Saccharomyces cerevisiae S288C: one gene and its partners. Changing the gene in region 3 together with the main gene of any one other region gives a genetic interaction. Each region holds a gene or a part of one and is shown on either strand. Other genes may lie near its edges.

Region 1 (5,584 bases), on a different chromosome or scaffold from region 3:
CTCATCAAGTACCCAAAAAGAAACGCGGTGCTCGAACAATACGGAAAAAGAAAGGTGTCCAAACAATGGCAATGATTTTCCAACCCAAAAAGGAAGTTCTTACCGATTCTACTCCGTTTTGCTTTACTAAGCACACGAGACGGAAAAAGCATGCCGCTTCCGTTCCGTGCAATATATTCATTCATTTGTAATGAGCATCCAATGGTTGGTAAGAACACTTAGTAGAGTCTGAAGATTGAACAAGAGATGCTAAGAGATCTTGAATTACGGAAGTTCATTACGGAAGTTCATTACGTAAGATATTTCCATGCATCCGTCGCAAGTTCCGCCTCTTGGAGACATTTTGTCATCGCTAGCGTAGGAAGTTGAAAACGCGTATTGTGCTAAGCCGCTAAATTGTAGTGATTTTGATGATAGTGTTCCGGCGAAGACCTGCCAGCTCTTATTTCTTACTCACTTGCGTTTGGCGTCTTGTAGCATTATCTATCTTATAGAGTTACTTACTTTCAGAAGCATCTTGCAACAAACGACATAATTGCAAAGATATATATATATAATCAATTAATTGTTCTCATAAATCGCTTTAAGAGTTCATGGCAATCAACTTTTTCATTTGTCATTAGGGTTGTGTTATAAAGTACTCATTTTTCATTAAAATACATATGTGAATAATCAATAGAAGAATCTTGTCGTGAAAAAAACTGTTTCATTAAACGGCAGCAACAAGCCGCTGCCGTATAGTATGACGACATGACAAAACTCGGTGAACATATGTCATACAAGTTTATCAACCCAAGAGACGTCAACATTGTTTTCGTCTAATATGTCTTGATATGAATCGCTGGCGCCAAATAACTCTCTTGTTAATTGGTCCATATTAGGAACTTTACCATGGCTTAAACTAATATCGAGAATTGTGTTGCTAATGTTTTGGAAAACATCCGCGCATCTCATAGCAAAAATCCATCTTTCACCGAAATGTCTTAGTATTTCCACACACTGTTGAATTTCGATTTTACTTTCAATGAGGTCGATGCTCCACTGGCAAAGACAGTATAAGATAGTGTTACAAATGGTTAATGTTCTGAAAAGGGTTATCCAGTTCAAGGGTAATAACCGCTTCTTGTACAGTGTATAAGTATGTTTCCAGGCTTGCAAGCAAAACTCTCCTAGAGTGGATAGTGAGTCAATGGGCGGTTTTGGCATCAATGCAGATGGTCTGTATAGTAAGATTTGCAACTGGGAGTATCTCATTGCTAGCCAAATCTCAGAACTATGGAAGGATATTACATTTGTAGTAGAATTGTTCTCCCTCTCCACCTGATCCATTTGAGATTTTTTCAGTTTCCTTCTTTCTGATTCTCGAGAATAAATTTCGTCTAGCTCCTTGCGTAATCCACTTATGATTTCCTGCTTTTGTTCGATGGTTAACTTTTGTCGCCCTGCACTTACAGAGTGGACTTGTTTATAAATGCGACCGCCCATTTTCCTTAATGATATCATCAACTTGGTCATCTCTAAATCGTCTCTTTCATCCACATACAACGCCCTCGGTAGTGGCACAGTGATGTCTTCGTCGTCGATCCCGGATATACGGCCCAACGAGGTGCATACTAGCCTTTCAAAGCAGTAAGCACTCCAAAACACTCTATATCTTGCCTCTGCTTCTAAAGCAGACATGCTCTTGAGTTTTTTGGCAGTTAACTCTCTATTTAAACCTAATCCTATGGTCAATCGCATGATGATACCACTAATTGTCCATGACGAGGAGCCCTTTGGCTCAAAAAACGAATAAATACCCAACAACAATAGGCATCGTACAGTTTCGATATCTTGTAAAATTATAACACTACGAAATTTTTTCATGGCCAAAAAAGCCAAATGTTCACTCAGACACTCTTCGTCCTGAGAAACCATACCAGCACGCTGTAAAGTTGTACAACCAATAGCCATGATCATGTATACTTTGAAAACAAAGCTGTCAGGGTAGTTTTTGTTGTCATATAACCTTTCGAAATCAGTAATTGTCGCGGCGTCATTTAGGAATGCTATTTTATCAATCATGGGAAATAGACGGTGATTGTGTTTGAAGTATGCGGCAATGAACCTGTCCAGTAAGGATCTATCAATTGACTTGAACGAGCCATCCTCTCTGACCCACGATGTTGTTCTACCACCTTTAAAGCAACAGGACATAGTTTCAAATTCGATCGAGGATGCATCAACCGGCACAGAATCGAATTTCCCATTGGGGGCTGAATTGTTTGCATATGGGGTAAGACTCAATTGCGGTGTGTTGGTACTGCCATTGTTATTATCGTGGTTAACATTACTGCCGTTATCCCCGTTGCTAGTATTGCGATTGTTGTTTTGTAGCGGTACGGCTTGGGCGTTCGCAGGCACATGACTGCTAATTAGTGGTGAAGGCGTGTTATATCCTCCGAATGATGAAGTTGTCGAACTTTGCTGCACGGAAGCTGGCAATGATCGGGAAGGAATCATGGAATTTTCATTAGAGGATAAGTGCGAAGAAGGATTAGAATTATCATTCAGCGATGTTAGCACCGAAATTAGCGATGAGACACCTTCGCTAGAATTTGGACTTGCCCCCATGACAAGATTTATTGGATCTGACGGTTTTAGCTGTTTCATCTTATGTGCATCATCGTTTTCGTAAGGCGAAAACCCGGGAGTTATAGCGCCATTTGCGGATAGCGGACTAGAAGAGTTTGGCATGCTCTTAGTGCTCAATGGGCTTTTTCCTACCTTCTTGTTCCTTTTCACTGGAACATATTCCCCTCGTAGCATAGCATCCGCTAACTCCTTCTTGGTACGTCTTGGGGCTCTACCTGGATATGAACAGTGTGCCCCATTTTTATCGCAGTTTGCACATGTCGGTATTTGTTTACCACACTTCTTCTTTAATTTTCTGCATCGTGCGCACGAATACAATTCAGTAGTACGTTGTGATCTCCCGCCTTGATGTGCAAAATTGGGACCATCCATGTCCTTCTTTTACACCTTTGTATTAATTTTTTAGCCCTGTACGCTCGGATATTATACCTCTTGTTACGTAGAGGAAATAACCGAACCTTGCCAAGAACTTCATTGTCGGTGTTTTATTTCGGAAGCTTATTTTTCTTTTAGTATTTCCGCTCGCCCTATTTTTCCCGTGGTATCGGCCTTGTCGTTATATTCCCTGCGGGTGATGGCGCCATGAATTAAATGCGACGCTATATAATAAGCTAGTAAAACAAGATATATTATGTGAAATTAAGTAGACAATCTGTCGGAGAATCTTCTTGGCATATATAGTATAATCGAGTGTAGTTTTCTTCCCGTTTTCCGTTGAGATTGAAGCCTTTTTTTTGTTTCAATTCCTGATGTTCATCAAAATAGAAGGTTGCAAGGAACGCATTAAATAATTCGTGAAATTTACAACTTTTGCATCAACAATGGAGTAAGCCACTCTTCATTCTTGAGTGTATTACCAGCATTAGTAGTGTTCTAAATGATTCAACAGTGCTAAGCGCTTCTTGTTTTTTTTTTGCACTTTTGCTTTTATTCGGGTTGAAATCGTCGTACACATTACCACAAGTACCATTGTTTCAATGATGAATCCGTTTATATATGCGTAGCGAGTAGATATAGAATCTGTTAACATAACTTCATGCCTTCTTGTCTTAGAACATTCCTATACGCGAGAACCGCGCCGCGAAGAAGAAGCCACAGAAACATAAACGTATCCTCAAGAAGTCTTCGAGCTTTAAGTCGTTTCTCTTAGTCTCGCTTTCACAGTGTTACTGCTATCATTTCTTCACTCCTGGAGGCAAACGGATATTCTATAGAAGAAATTGGATGAGGACAAAATGTGTTGTTGCAACTTTAACTACGTGAGAAAGGTGAAAGTAAGGTATTAGAAGAGAGGACACAAGAGTTATAATATCAGTAACTTTCGAAGTGGGTATCTCACATGGTTTTGATTGGGGTTCTCGATTGTTTTGCCCCCCTGGTTTATTCATTTTTCATAACAATGCCAAGAACCGTTTTTAGGTTTGATTTCTCAGTTCCCTTGCGTTTCTTTCTCTGGAAATTTCATGATAGAATTACAAATTTGGATATGCTTGTTAGTATATGATACAATGATGGAGGTGAAAATCAGATGGTCCTATAAATAGTTTTTCGAAATCCATCGATGGTAGGGAACAACAAGAACAAGCACCCTCCTGTTTTTTTAAAACCCTTTCTGAAAAACACACAATTGGCTGCCCTTTCTATGTAGTGAAGAATCCTTTTGGAATATGAGCGGTACTTTAGGTGAACCTTTCAGCAATTGAAAGGATGCTGATCTTCTACTTTGAGTATTGGTGGGATTTAGGATTGCTTGATGTGTTGTTTTTACTAAATGTTGGTGGATGTTGCATGCTGTCTGGCGCATGAATCATTTGGTATTGTGTTTGAGCCGGGGGATTCATACGAGGAGCTGGCAAAATATAAATGCCATCTAGGTTCTTGTTGGTTGTGGAGGTGGTTATGTTTACATTTGGAGGATTAATAGAATCTGTGACTGGTTTTGGTTGTCGGTAATCATGCACAAGTATATGGTGTACTGGGGGCATCATTGTTGGGGCGATAGGCGCCTTAGAGTGATTGCATTCAGGACCCGACCTCGAAGAGTATGGATCGATATTTTGGTATGGTATTGGGCTCAATGTATTGGAGGAGTATATCACTGAAGGCGACACGCCACGCCGTTCATAAGGTGCTGCAGTAGGTTGTTGCGGGAGAGTATTGTATGTATTGCAGAAAATCATAGGTTGTGAGACCGTACGTCTCAATCCAGGCTGATAGTTAGGATTGTAAACACCAATTGGTTGTGGCTGGTGCTGCATATACGGGAGAGGTAATTTATTCTGTTCATCTATGGGTAAGAGATATTGTTGCTGTTGTCGGTGCTGCTGTTGGTGCATTTCTCGAGGAGCGTTATTGAAGGTGGTTAAAGGTAACTGAACTGCGGTCCTAACTGGAATATTTCCAGGATGGTTGTTATAATTGCTCAAGAGATCACAATAGCTCGGAGAAGATGATAAAGACCTGCGCGTTTTATAATTATGAGCTTTGGTTCTGCCTCTCTCATTATTTTTAGACGGGTTAGATCTGCCATTTCCTACAGCAACTTTTTGTAAAGCATCTAATAGTTTCTGTGAAGGTCGAAATTTATGGAAGAAAGGATTTTCTGAAGGTCTCCTCAAACTTCCTTGATGAATATCCTTTTCCGTATAGTACGCAATAAGATGAAATGTTTCCAGCTTAGTGCTGTCGGTGGGATCCATATTGAATTTTAGAGAAAATGTTTTTTTCAGTAGTCCAGTATAAAAATACTTCCTATGAGCCCTCTCGAAGATATTATACTCAGGTACATTATGCAGCGGTAGATCGTGCGTGGAACCCAGCCTATTATACTCTCTATATACGAGAAATTTGCCTGAAATTCTTGAAGGAGACCAAGAAAAACCATCTGTCCATCTTTTGATGCCGGATTTCTCTTCGTTGAAAACAAAAATGTTTCCGGGGTTGACTAATT
Region 2 (5,310 bases), on a different chromosome or scaffold from region 3:
CCTTGGCGCTAGTCCCCAAAATGGAAACACTTGAACTAACCATCCTCGCTGTTATTTTTTTGTTATATCGATCAACTATATTATTATTAATTATTTATTGTATTTTTATTACGAGAAAGAAATAGTTTTAGATAGATAAACCGTCATTGAGGCGCAGAGCGTACCAACACATTTCTTGTGTCCTTATATAACAATTCCTTCTGATTGGAAAACATGTAGGAACAAACATAAAGAGAATAATTTCACTGGTATAATTCATTTCTGTGTAATAACCCTAACCCAACGGCTACGCCATATCTTTCATAATCAGTCAACTGAGTGTACCCCACATCCGAAACAAAGTATATAACCTTAAAAGTGTCGAAAATAGGTGTCAAATATCGATGAGCACACAAAACCTAGTAGCGGAATTACGACGTCCGTCATTTTCTTAGCGTCGACAAATTTTGATTATACAAAAACAATTCTGAATACTTTGTTAAAAAATACATCCGCTCGATTCAGGGGAGTACAAAAAATAAAAGAAGGCAACTGACAACCCTTGTCAGTCGATAATACAGCGATTAGACTTCTTTCCTTCCTTTTCTACTATAGCTAGCTATAAAGAGCTTGTTTAACAACATATTCAACGCGTTCCGGAGCCGATGAGATGAGGATTGATGACAGTATATGATTTGATAGCGTCACAATAACAGCATCATCACTATAAAGAAACAAAACGAAAAAGGAAACTTAGAGCATTATAGAAAATTAGCTAGTTAATGAAAAATTAAAAATTGAGATTGGTCCTATCATGGCAAGCAAGCTTCCTCTCGTAGTCGCCATCCAGACAGCCGAAATTGATGATACAACGACTGTTTATTTGCGTATGGGATTTCGTGTATACTTCAATGAAAGAAAAAAAAAAAAATATAATAAAACTAATGGTTTTGCAATTTGAAGGGTAAGTTTTTACTGCATATGGCCAAAAAAACTTTTGACTTTTTCATATGTCTATCAAATTATCCATAAGACCATTGCTCATCGAAAGAGATTTCATTTCTTCTCGAAGGCCATTTTTTAATACTCCTTGCAGAATTTTTCCTAATCGTGCATAATCAGTTTTCGTACTTCTCCTCAATGATAACATATTCTTGGAAAGCTGCTTAATGGCGTTTACCAACAATAAATTTATAGACATATACCAAAATCTTCTTTTAGTCCACATATGAACATATTGAAGATATTCTATTGAACAACTTAAAATACTATAAACGCATTCATCTTCTTTTTCTTACTGAGAAATTTTATATTCCTAAAAATTTTGAAATGATCTGAGTTTATTTAGATCTCTTGAACATCCTACAAGAACATTTGAAGGGCAATAATCCTCATCAATACTACTCAATTGTTTTCCATGGGAAAGGATTTCGATCTCTTCCTTTAATATATGTCTTCTAAACCACTTACGTATCCTATCTGTGCTAGAAAGTTTTGTTTTATTCTTCGTATGATCTTCCAATATAAAGTTAGTGTTATTTTCCCACTTCTTGAGGTTACAAACTGGTTCTTTCACTTTCAGCTCCGGATTATTCTGCTTTCTCGTTTCATCCGTTGTTGCGGTAGGTGAATGATTTATTTCAATGACAATGTGTGATACGAGTTCCATTACTTTGATGTAGCCATCATTTTGGAAAGGTGAACTTCCATAAAAAACTGACGAGGAAGACGCAATGGTCCTTTTTGGTCGGGATTTGGGCATCTTTCTATAAGTAGCTAAATTATGGTATTTGATAGCTATATTTGCGACTTATTAGTATTTTGACATTCCATAAAATGCAAAAATTATTTACTATCCTTTTAAATTCAGTTATTATACACGTACATATTTTTTTAAACTGATGCGACAGTTTATCGAGTTTTGTGTCAGAGGACGTGAAAAAATTGCTCTAGTTGAGACCAACATGATTCAGGATGAAAAATTATCCAACGTTCGATTTTCTGGTCTACATGTCATTTGAATAAATTATTTAGCAGACGTTGGATAGAAAGGATTGAAAGATTACATAATGTTATTTCAAAAAAGAGAGAATTGAAATATGCTGGCTGACCTTTACCGAAAACAAGAAGATGAACAGAAGGAAAACCTGAGAGTCGATTGATGTCTCAAAAGACCACTACTGTTATGACACAAAACAATTTAACGACTCTTGATGTAAAGGAACTAAAGCAACACTTTTCTTAACCAAGCCAGTATATATTTTGCAGTATCAGAAATAATCAGACTTTTTTTTTTCTTAGCCCATATTAAGACAATTCTGTAGCATATCGTGTACAACGAAAAACAGGTTACCCTCGAATGCGGTAACGGTACAAGTAAGTAAAGAACGCCCAATGAATGCTGATATGGTATTGGAAACAGTTCATGATTAACTAAGTAAAATCGAAAGCTAAATAAAGGCGACACTCTAATTAAAGATGGGGAAGAGAGTATACGATCCAATTCATGATACTTTCCAACTACGAGAAGACAATTCTGACGAAACAAAAGCAGATTCTCCAATGCAATCTGTAAAATCGGGATCACAAGAAGAAGCATCCCCAAGCTCCATTCAATCAGAGACCGAGACTGTGACTACAAAAAGCATTCCAGTTATACACGAGATTGAAATCGACGATAAAAATGATGATGACTCCACGCAAAGTGAAGAAGAAAATACCAACATCTTGCTCAACTTCGAACCTTCTACAGTGCCTGAAGCAACAGGAGCAAGTACGGCAACGGGGCCAGTGACAACTAACACTGTTAGAAGGAAACCCAAAGAAAGCAATGCCAGTAAATACAATCGTCATTTGAAGAAACCTGACGGCGAGCCATTCAATAGAAAGGACATTCAGTTCAGTTTCATGCAAGAACTGTTGATGGACAAGAGGCAAATCTTCACTAATGTTCTAAAACCCCTATACAAGAACTCTATTGTACCCATTAATATCGATGGCGATAAATTATCAATCAACGTGACCGACAAAGAGTACGATGCAAGGACATTTGTATTTAACGATAAATTGACGTTCGCACAATTGTATGTGTTGACAATAGCCACTTCTATCAAATGTTCCAAAATTCTCAGAGATAAACTATTATTAGACCAACAAGTAGCATTTTCTACTTGTGTTTTAGCGTTATTGGTCAACATTGGTAGGTTGAACACCACTATAAATTTTTATTTAGAAATGACATCGCAATTGAGAACTTTTCACTCCGTGCCAGTTTTACAATTACATGCCAATGATCCGAAACTTTTGCAGGATACACCTAGACTGAAATCTATTCTGAAAAATCTGCCGTGGGGCAATGAGCAACTCTCATTGATGGAGACTTACAAAAAGGTCGACCAAAATGATGGTGAAGTGGACACCGTTAACAAATTTAACATTATTAATATGTTGTTTAGCATATGTGATAATTCCGGCCTAATTGACAAGAGGTTTCTTTCCAAGTATGTGGAAGTCGAATCGAAAGCTCAGGAGCAAGATATGGTAGATGAACAGAATGAAGTAAAAGAAACGGAAGCGGAAAATGAAAAACAAGAATCAAAAGCAGCTTATGCAACAACATTATTTGATATACTGGACTATTCGAAATACGAGCCAAAGGATAGATCAAACATATTGATTTGGCTGCTATATATTCATTTGGAGACAAACTTAAGCCAGGAGGAGGTCGAAGAATCAGTAAGATTTTTCAATGGATTGGAAGATGGTGCACCTGCTGGAAAGTTCATTTTAAGGTGTACGGAACGCAGTTACGACACGGATCCTGAAGATGAATTAGAGTTCGGAGCCAACCAACGCATCAAGAGAAGAGAATTCATGAGTAAGATGGAGGAGGGTAGGAAGCGCGAGCGTACCAATGTTACAGAGGTGAAAAAGCCCAGTATCGGTGGTGACAAGAGTGAAGAGGACGGTGAAGGGGAAGATGACAAGAGCGAGGAGACTGTAGAGGAGACTAGATCACTTTTGACGCCTACGCCCATACTGGAATCTTCTTCACCCATGACATTGAACAGGAAAAAAGTCACACCACAACTGCCCAAAGTAACGCCAGCAGCACCAACAGAAACAGAAGAAGAAATCACCTCCGCTGCTATCATTGACAAAAACGATTTAAATCTAACACCATTGAAAAAATACAATAGTTCGGCTACGGTAAACAAGGTCGACAAGCTAATATCGCTAGATCTGAACAAGCATGTGTCAGAAAATGGTAAGACACAAGAGGAGTTTCTCGCCGATTTGAAAAAATCCCAGGTGCCAAACAGGTTGAAAAGACGCGATATTGGGTTAATCAAGATATTCAATGAATTTGAAGACATCCCCGTAGCGTCAGTGCTTGGGATTCGCGGTAAAAAGAGAAAGAAATTCAAAGATAATTTGCTTGGATTTGAGACGGATTTCATGAAAAATCTCGGCGCTTCAAAGAAAGTACTTTTAAATAAAATCGAACGCGCGGAAATTGATGACGAAGAAGCAACCGCCATGTTTAAGCTGGAGTGAAATAGAACAATACGCACACACACACACACACACATACATACATTTAAGAACATTTTGTAAAGAAAGAGAATTTTTTTTTTTAAAAAAACAGCTAATTTTTAAACTGAACTAGAGTATATGCGTACTTAAGTTTATATATTCCACCTCGATTTAAGCGTTTTTTTTTTAGAATTTTTTTATTACTCTGCTATTCATTGAATATAATATTAAGGAACATCACACATCATAAAGAAAAAACCATGTAACTACAAAGAGTTCCGAAAGATTTACTTCTTGGTTGGGTCTTCTTCACCGTGGACACGACCGGAAACATATTCGACGGCATCGTTCAACTTGGACTTGGCGGCTCCCATGTAATCTCTAGCTTGGTCTGCCAAAGATTCACCTTGACCTTCAGCGTTATCCTTGCCTTTTTCGGCAGAGTCGTGGACACCTTGGAAGACACCCTTGTTGTCTTCTGGTTGAACCTTACCAGCGACCTTGTCGGCCTTGTCAGTGATGTATTCCTTACCTTGTTCAGCGTATGACTTTTGAGAGTCTGGCTTCAAAGCTTCAGAAGCTTTTTCACCGAATCCTTTTCTACCTGCGTCAGACATTGTTGTATTTAGTTTTTTTTGTTTTGAGTTGTTTGTTTGAGATTATCGAATAATCAGATGGTTTTTTTTTCTATATATTAGAGAGAGATTAAATAAGATCAAACGCAATTGAGGAAGTAGAACGCAATTCACCGTCCTATTTATACGTTTTAATATAGATTTAGAGAAAGACCTTTCA
Region 3 (6,605 bases):
GCAGTATACAAGCAATTGAAGACAAGCTTAACAAAATGAGTCGGTGAGAGCAGGTGAGTAGTAACATGGAAACTTCTAATGCTTTTATTCATAAAAAAGAAAACGCGTGCTATCGCGTAACTAGGTTGCAATTAACTACAGATCGTGCCAAATACGTGCTTTTTTATATGGTTTAGAAATATTAATCAACTGAAACTTAATAATATATTCGCATGTTTTTGGAGTCTCTGGGATAGCACTTCACCTATCCTTGGAAACTTGAAATGGAGAAGTTTTAACTAAATGACTTTTTTGGCAATTGCTCTCTTATAATTCAGTACACTGTTGTTAATGTAAGTTTGTAGATAAATACAATATGACAAGTATCAAAGCAGGCTTTAGTTTTCAGCAGTTCAATTATCTTAGAATGGATATGAATTAGTTAAAGCGGCTCGACCCAGTTAGACTTAATTTGTCCTCTTCATTCACCATTTTTGCAGCGATATCACATTTCATTGAAGGGAAAAAGGTGACTGAAATATGATTACCTGTCATTTATCATTATCAAACTTGAAGATAGTGGTCAAGAAGTGGCTACGGTTCATTATATAATGCGGTCTATAAGGCTCGTTAGTTTAATTGTATTCAATGAAAAAGTAATATAAAAAATTATATCTCTCACGTCACTTATTTTAATGCACAATACATGATTCATGCTTCTTGATCAATTTTGGTTCTTTTATCAACATGATCGTTTGTATCTTTTTGATTTGTCACCATCGTCGTCGGGAGATTTGGAACCGTTGAAGCTCTAGTGCTTTCATTTTGGGATAAAGGAGTATCCTCTCTAGTCGCTGAAGTTCTACTCCTTTTCTTCTTATTTGCGTCAGGTTGCTCATACTCTCTTACAATTAAAGTTAATAGCGTATGGACTCTTTTTGATAGCTCATGCACCGTTCTTGTCTTTATAAACCAATCAAAAGTGAACAAATCACTCATCATGATTTCTTGCTTTAATTTTTCATAGAGCTTGTCAGCACGAAGTCCGTACTTGTTAACAGCTAATAATAAAAATTTATCTTCTAAGGTATTGTAAGTTCTTCTAGCATTATTAGGTGGATACTGTATTATCAGCTCATGTAATGGATGTTTACACTGTTCGATTTTCTGCCTCAATAGAGTTTCCTGGAATTTCAGTTTTTCATTTTTTTTTTCACCAAGTTCTACATTATGTAAATACTTCTCCCACCCATTGATTTCCTTTAGTCTTTCCCAGAATATTTTTGCATACACTTCAACCTCTTCTGGTGTTTTGGAATCAATAGATTTCTTAATGTTTTCCATATCATCTCTACCGTATTTGGCGCAGGCGTTGATAAACGCCATAAAGTCCCTCTTATTCCAGTTAGTAAAGGCTTTTGATATCAATTCTTGCTTTCGTAATTCATCTTCTTGGGTAAAATCCGGTGCTGAATTAATCTTCTCTTGCTCCTCCTCAATCCTTCTTTTAAGTTCCTCATGGCCTTTATGACCTTCTGTATTAGCGGCATTTTTGTATTCTCCTTCTTCTTCTTCAGCATCGCTTCCTTCATTACGTATATCTCCCGTAATATCATAAGAAGTAACCTTATAGTTGACCTTTTTCTTGAAGTAAAGCTGTTCCTTTTCTTGTAAGGCATCCAACTCCTTGGGGAAGAACTGGAAATCTTGACCGTGTATAACCTTTGGAGCGCGGGGTGCTTTTGGCTGCGGAGTTTGCTTGCTTGCTGATTTAGAGCCACCACCAATAATTTCCTTATAATAATCGTCAACTGAATAAGTGGTTTGCTCTCTTCTTCTTTCTCTTCGGGAAGGATTAATCCATTCAACTACTTTGTCGTTGGATTTTTTTTGAAAGCTTTTACCATTCCATTCGTAAGCAGATTGGTTCTCGATCCCATTGAACTTTTGTAAGTCGTCAAGTCCTAAACTTTGGTATTTGGCATTTAGTTCTTGTGTCTTCTGTTCCCCCTTTTTCAAAATATCATCGATATCAGCATCAACAGTGACTTTACTTGCTTTCTTTTCAAACATATTTTTAGCGCCAAATTGAATCATATCCAACAGATCATCCTTTGAGTTACCAAGAGATGCAGTTTTCTTGCCCGTGCCCTGTTGGATAACCAACTGGTCTAGTCTCAGCTTTTGTGCGGCACGCTCAATGACTTTCTCTTCAATAGCATTTTCTGTGACAAATCTATAAACATGAACTTGTTTCTTTTGACCAATTCTATGCGCTCTATCCATTGCTTGTAGATCAGCTTGAGGGTTCCAATCAGAATCAAAAAGAATAACAGTGTCGGCTGTGACAAGGTTAATACCTAAACCACCGGCACGTGTTGTTAGCAAAAAAACGAACTTTTCAGAATTAGGTTTATTATACTCATCGATAGCTTCTATACGTTCTTCATGGCTAGTAGAACCGTCGATTCTGCAATATTCAAAATCTCTAAAATAGCAATAATCTTCTAAGATATCCAATAGTCTCGACATTTGACTGAAAATCAATACTCTAGATCCCTTTTCCTTCAGTCTTTTCAGTAACTTATCTAATATAATCATTTTCCCGGAATTGAAAATCAAATGTTCATCGGTAGTGTATGGAGGTCCAGGTTCTGCGCCTTCAAAAAGATATGGATGATTACAGCATTTCCTTAATTGCATAACAATATTCAGTAACCTCGTTTTGCCTTCTCTTTTTCCAACAGCACCGTTAACAGCGTCTATATCCTTCTCTAATAATGATTTATACCATTGTATTTGCATGTCTGTCATCCCCACGTAAACATTCGTTTCGATTTTAGGTAGCAAAGATTTTTCGACATCCGCTTTGACTCTTCTCAGTAAAAAGGGGTTTAGTACTGAGTGTAGCTGTTGGATTACAATTTCTTGATCTTGTTCCGAATTGTTTTGTTCGAACCATTCATCAAAAAGTTCAGAATCTCCAAATATATCAGGTAATAAGAAATTTAGCAGGGCCCATAATTCGTGTAGATTGTTTTGTAGAGGCGTGCCCGTAATCAATAATCTATTCTTAGAGTAAAATAATCTAATTATTTGAGATAACGCGCTTTGTTCATTTTTGATCCTGTGAGCCTCATCAATAACAATATATTGCCAAGCTAATCTTTTCAAAGCATTCTTTTCTCTAATGACCATTTCATAAGATGTAATCAATACATCAAATCTAGCTTCTAATATTATATTCCGTACTATATCAGCTCTTGTGTCTTTATCACCATGTAACACAAGGACATTGACGTTTGGAGTCCATTTAAGAAACTCTCGTCTCCAATTATCTAGTGTTGACTTCGGTACTATTATTAGAAAGGGTCCCTCGATTTGTTTGACGTATCTCAAATAACCTAGGAATGAAATTGTTTGTAAGGTTTTACCCAGCCCCATTTCATCGGCCAAGATACCAGATAGTTTGTTTTCGTGCAACGATATTAACCAGTTTAAGCCTTGAACTTGATAGTCTCTTAATTTTCCTGACTTGACGAAGGAGGGAGATTCTGAGACGAATATGTCTTCCTGATATGTATCTACAATCTCTTCTTCCTCATCAGCCATTAATTCAGCATCTTCCTCCTTTTCTGTTTTTCTATGGTGACGTGATGACGAACTGACGGTGCTGTGTGATTTGGAAAGTTTGTTTGCATCAGAATCTAACTGTTTTAAGAGTTTTTGAATATTTTTATCATGTTTTGCCTTAATTCCAATAAAATGACGGAAAAGGTCTGTGACGCCTAATAAATATTTGAATCTTTTGTACGTATCGGACTTGTCCTTTTGCTTGGCGTATTTTGGATCTACATCAAGTACGAATTTTTTCTTTCTTTGAGCCCAATATTCTGGTGGTCTATCTTCTACTGTATATATTTCTTTATCTGATAGCTCTTCACTTTGTCCGATATTATCATCATCACTACTGCCATTTGACTTTGAGTCGAGAGTATCGACTAAAACTTCTGAAGGTGACTCGCTTTTGCTATTCTTGGTATCACTTCGTTGCTCCTCTTGCTGGGTCGTCATGATCTGATTGTAAGTTTTCCTTTTGTTACGACTTAAACCAACAAGACGGGTATTATTGGAAAGTAAATAAAACAAACCACAAAGAAAGAAAACCGTTTGCACAAACTCCTTGAGTTATGCAAATATACTTATCAAAATTTAACTGAAGCTGAAAATTTTTGAGTCTGCTTTATTTGATTTTTTTTTTAGGATGGCAGGATGAAATTAGAGCCATTGTACGTACGTTACGTTTTTTTGTTCATTTAATTACAAGAAGCGCCCGTTAATTATGACAACTGCGAGTAGATACTAAGCAACGACGAGTAGCGCAAAATACCATGAACTGAATTGAATCGTATTTAGATGTACGTATGTGTTACGTAATGTATAAATTTTGTTTTTAGAACAACACTCTTTCCTTGGCCAACTTAGTAACATTTATACTCTGCAATCTCGATTTATCGGTACTGTATGTTACTTTTAGTGAGATTGAACTTTTTGCCTGAGATTGTAATTGGTATTTTTCTATATTATCGAAGAATTTGTCAAAAAGAATAGCTGTGTCTAAGGGACCACCTTTTGCCTCTGGGTGAAATTGGGTAGAAAATATGGGTCTTTGAAGGTGTATCATGCCTTCGTTTGATTTGTCGTTTAAATTAACAAAATAAGGTTTCCATTGGTCCTTTGGTAGGGTCTCAGGATCAACTGCATAGCCATGATTTTGAGATGTAATGTGGCACTGGCCGGTAGTCAAATCCATGGCAGGGATGTTGTGAGCCCTATTACCATATTTCAATTTGTGAGTAGAGGCACCGGAGGCCAGAGCCAAGAGTTGATGGCCTAGACAAATCCCAAAAATAGGGATACAGTCATAAACAGGGTTATTTAGTAATTCCCTGACGTTGGAAATTGTAGCTTGGCATAGTTCTGGGTTGCCTGGTCCATTGGATAAGAAAATACCGTCGAATTCAGAAGCAACATCTTGAATTCTGTAATCATAGGGGAAAACAGTTACATTGGCACCTCTTTTGACTAGGCATCTGATAATGTTTTCTTTAACACCACAGTCAATAAGAGCCACATTTGCCTTAGCCTTCCCAGGTAAGGCAGAGACGTGGAAAGGCTTTTTTGTGGTGACTTGAGCAACCAAGTTAGTTTTCATGGGATTCACGTAGGGGACAGGGTCATGATCAGCCAACGTAATACGGCCCAAAGAAGAACCTTGTTCCCTCAAGTATTGCACTAGTTCACGGGTGTCTACGCCAGTAATAGCAGCAACACCTTCTCTCTGACACCATTGTGCCAGAGATTCAACAGCGGTCCAATGCGAATATTGATAAGCATATTCAGCGACAACGATGCCGACCACATGTATATGCGGAGATTCAAAATACTTCAGTAAATTGTATTCATCGCGGGCTTCGCCGGATGGGACACCGTAGTTACCAATCAAGGGTTGCGTGAAGACTAATATCTGACCACGGTAGGAAGGATCAGTCATGGACTCTGGGTAACCAACCAGAGAAGTAGTGAAAACTGTTTCACCAGCAACAGATTTGTTTGCACCAAAAGATATACCTTCAAAGGAAGGACCATTTTGGATACAGAAAGTAGCTTTTGTTGCAGCGGAGGACATTTGAAATATTTTTAGGAGTGGTTTGTGATAGAATTTCTGATTATTAAGCAATGAAATTAGTGGGAGCTAGTTTTCCAGATGTGGTCAGATATGTAGTCTTGGCAGGTGTATTGAGAGTTCGATAAGCTAAACATATAATGTTTTTTTTATTTCAAATCTGCAAAAAGGGTATGTAGAAGAGTCGATTACCTTGTATTCTTTGCAGTATTTAAACAATTAGATGTTCGAGTGTATCTATGTGTTATAGTTCTGAAGAAAAAAAAAAAAAAAAAAAAGAAAAAGAAACGACGAGTCAAGAAAAGAAAAGAAAAAGGAGGGGCATGAAAAAAGAAATTGACCGAATAATCTAATGAACGTTGGATAGTTAAGTGTCTTACGAGAGAGCCTTATATATCATGTCATCGCCTTTTTTTTCCGCGAGAGGTGATAAGTGAAATCGCAACTATTTACTCATCATGAGGTAATGCGATGCGATGATGAGTCAAACACCCTTCCACGGGAAGCGCCAGCCGGCGCCCTCGGTAAAGCCTGCACTTAACGGCCCCTCGCTGTTTCTTGTACTTAGCGTCACGCGCTATGGAAATATGCGGTGCACAGGTGTTTTTATAGGGGGGTGATGGATTACATCATACACGACGGCCGGGAACACAGCTGAAAATAACTGTGAATGCGGCAGTGGCACCCACTACGAGAAGCAGACACCACAGTCCACGCTTACGTAGAAGCTGCCGAGTAAATGGGTGCTCTATGCGGGTAAGACGGCGCCTACCGCCGAACACCGCAAGTATCATTGGCACGTGATCGGTATCACTAGAAGCATCTCCTTCGTCATTGCCAGCGTTTTTGTGTCTGTGGAGAAGTCTCTGTGTGACGCCAAACCAGGAATACACAATGTCCACTTGATACATGCCACACACAATGCAGTAGCATCCCAGTG

Evidence for each region. A genetic interaction does not mean that the proteins touch.
Region 1: mutations in ISW2 (region 3) and STB5 together harm fitness more than expected from each alone (negative genetic interaction), as found in Saccharomyces cerevisiae (3 studies listed by BioGRID).
Region 2: mutations in ISW2 (region 3) and IES1 together harm fitness more than expected from each alone (negative genetic interaction), as found in Saccharomyces cerevisiae (3 studies listed by BioGRID).

What each region holds. Positions count from the first base shown.
Region 1 is NC_001140.6:456,721-462,304, reverse strand, and holds STB5 (Stb5p), read right to left. Parts: upstream 3,007-5,584; coding exon 775-3,006; downstream 1-774. Other genes in the region: ROF1 (Rof1p), read right to left, coding at 4,353-5,584. UniProt on the Saccharomyces cerevisiae protein: Binds to SIN3.
Region 2 is NC_001138.5:107,078-112,387, reverse strand, and holds IES1 (Ies1p), read left to right. Parts: upstream 1-2,457; coding exon 2,458-4,536; downstream 4,537-5,310. Other genes in the region: hexose transporter HXT10, read right to left, coding at 1-43; YFL012W (uncharacterized protein), read right to left, coding at 1,295-1,741; lipid-binding protein HSP12, read right to left, coding at 4,803-5,132. UniProt on the Saccharomyces cerevisiae protein: Probably involved in transcription regulation via its interaction with the INO80 complex, a chromatin-remodeling complex.
Region 3 is NC_001147.6:881,962-888,566, reverse strand, and holds ISW2 (DNA translocase), read right to left. Parts: upstream 4,054-6,605; coding exon 691-4,053; downstream 1-690. Other genes in the region: BIL1 (Bil1p), read left to right, coding at 1-47; carbamoyl-phosphate synthase (glutamine-hydrolyzing) CPA1, read right to left, coding at 4,433-5,668; YOR302W (uncharacterized protein), read right to left, coding at 5,725-5,802; RAX1 (Rax1p), read right to left, coding at 6,295-6,605. UniProt on the Saccharomyces cerevisiae protein: Catalytic component of the ISW2 complex, which acts in remodeling the chromatin by catalyzing an ATP-dependent alteration in the structure of nucleosomal DNA.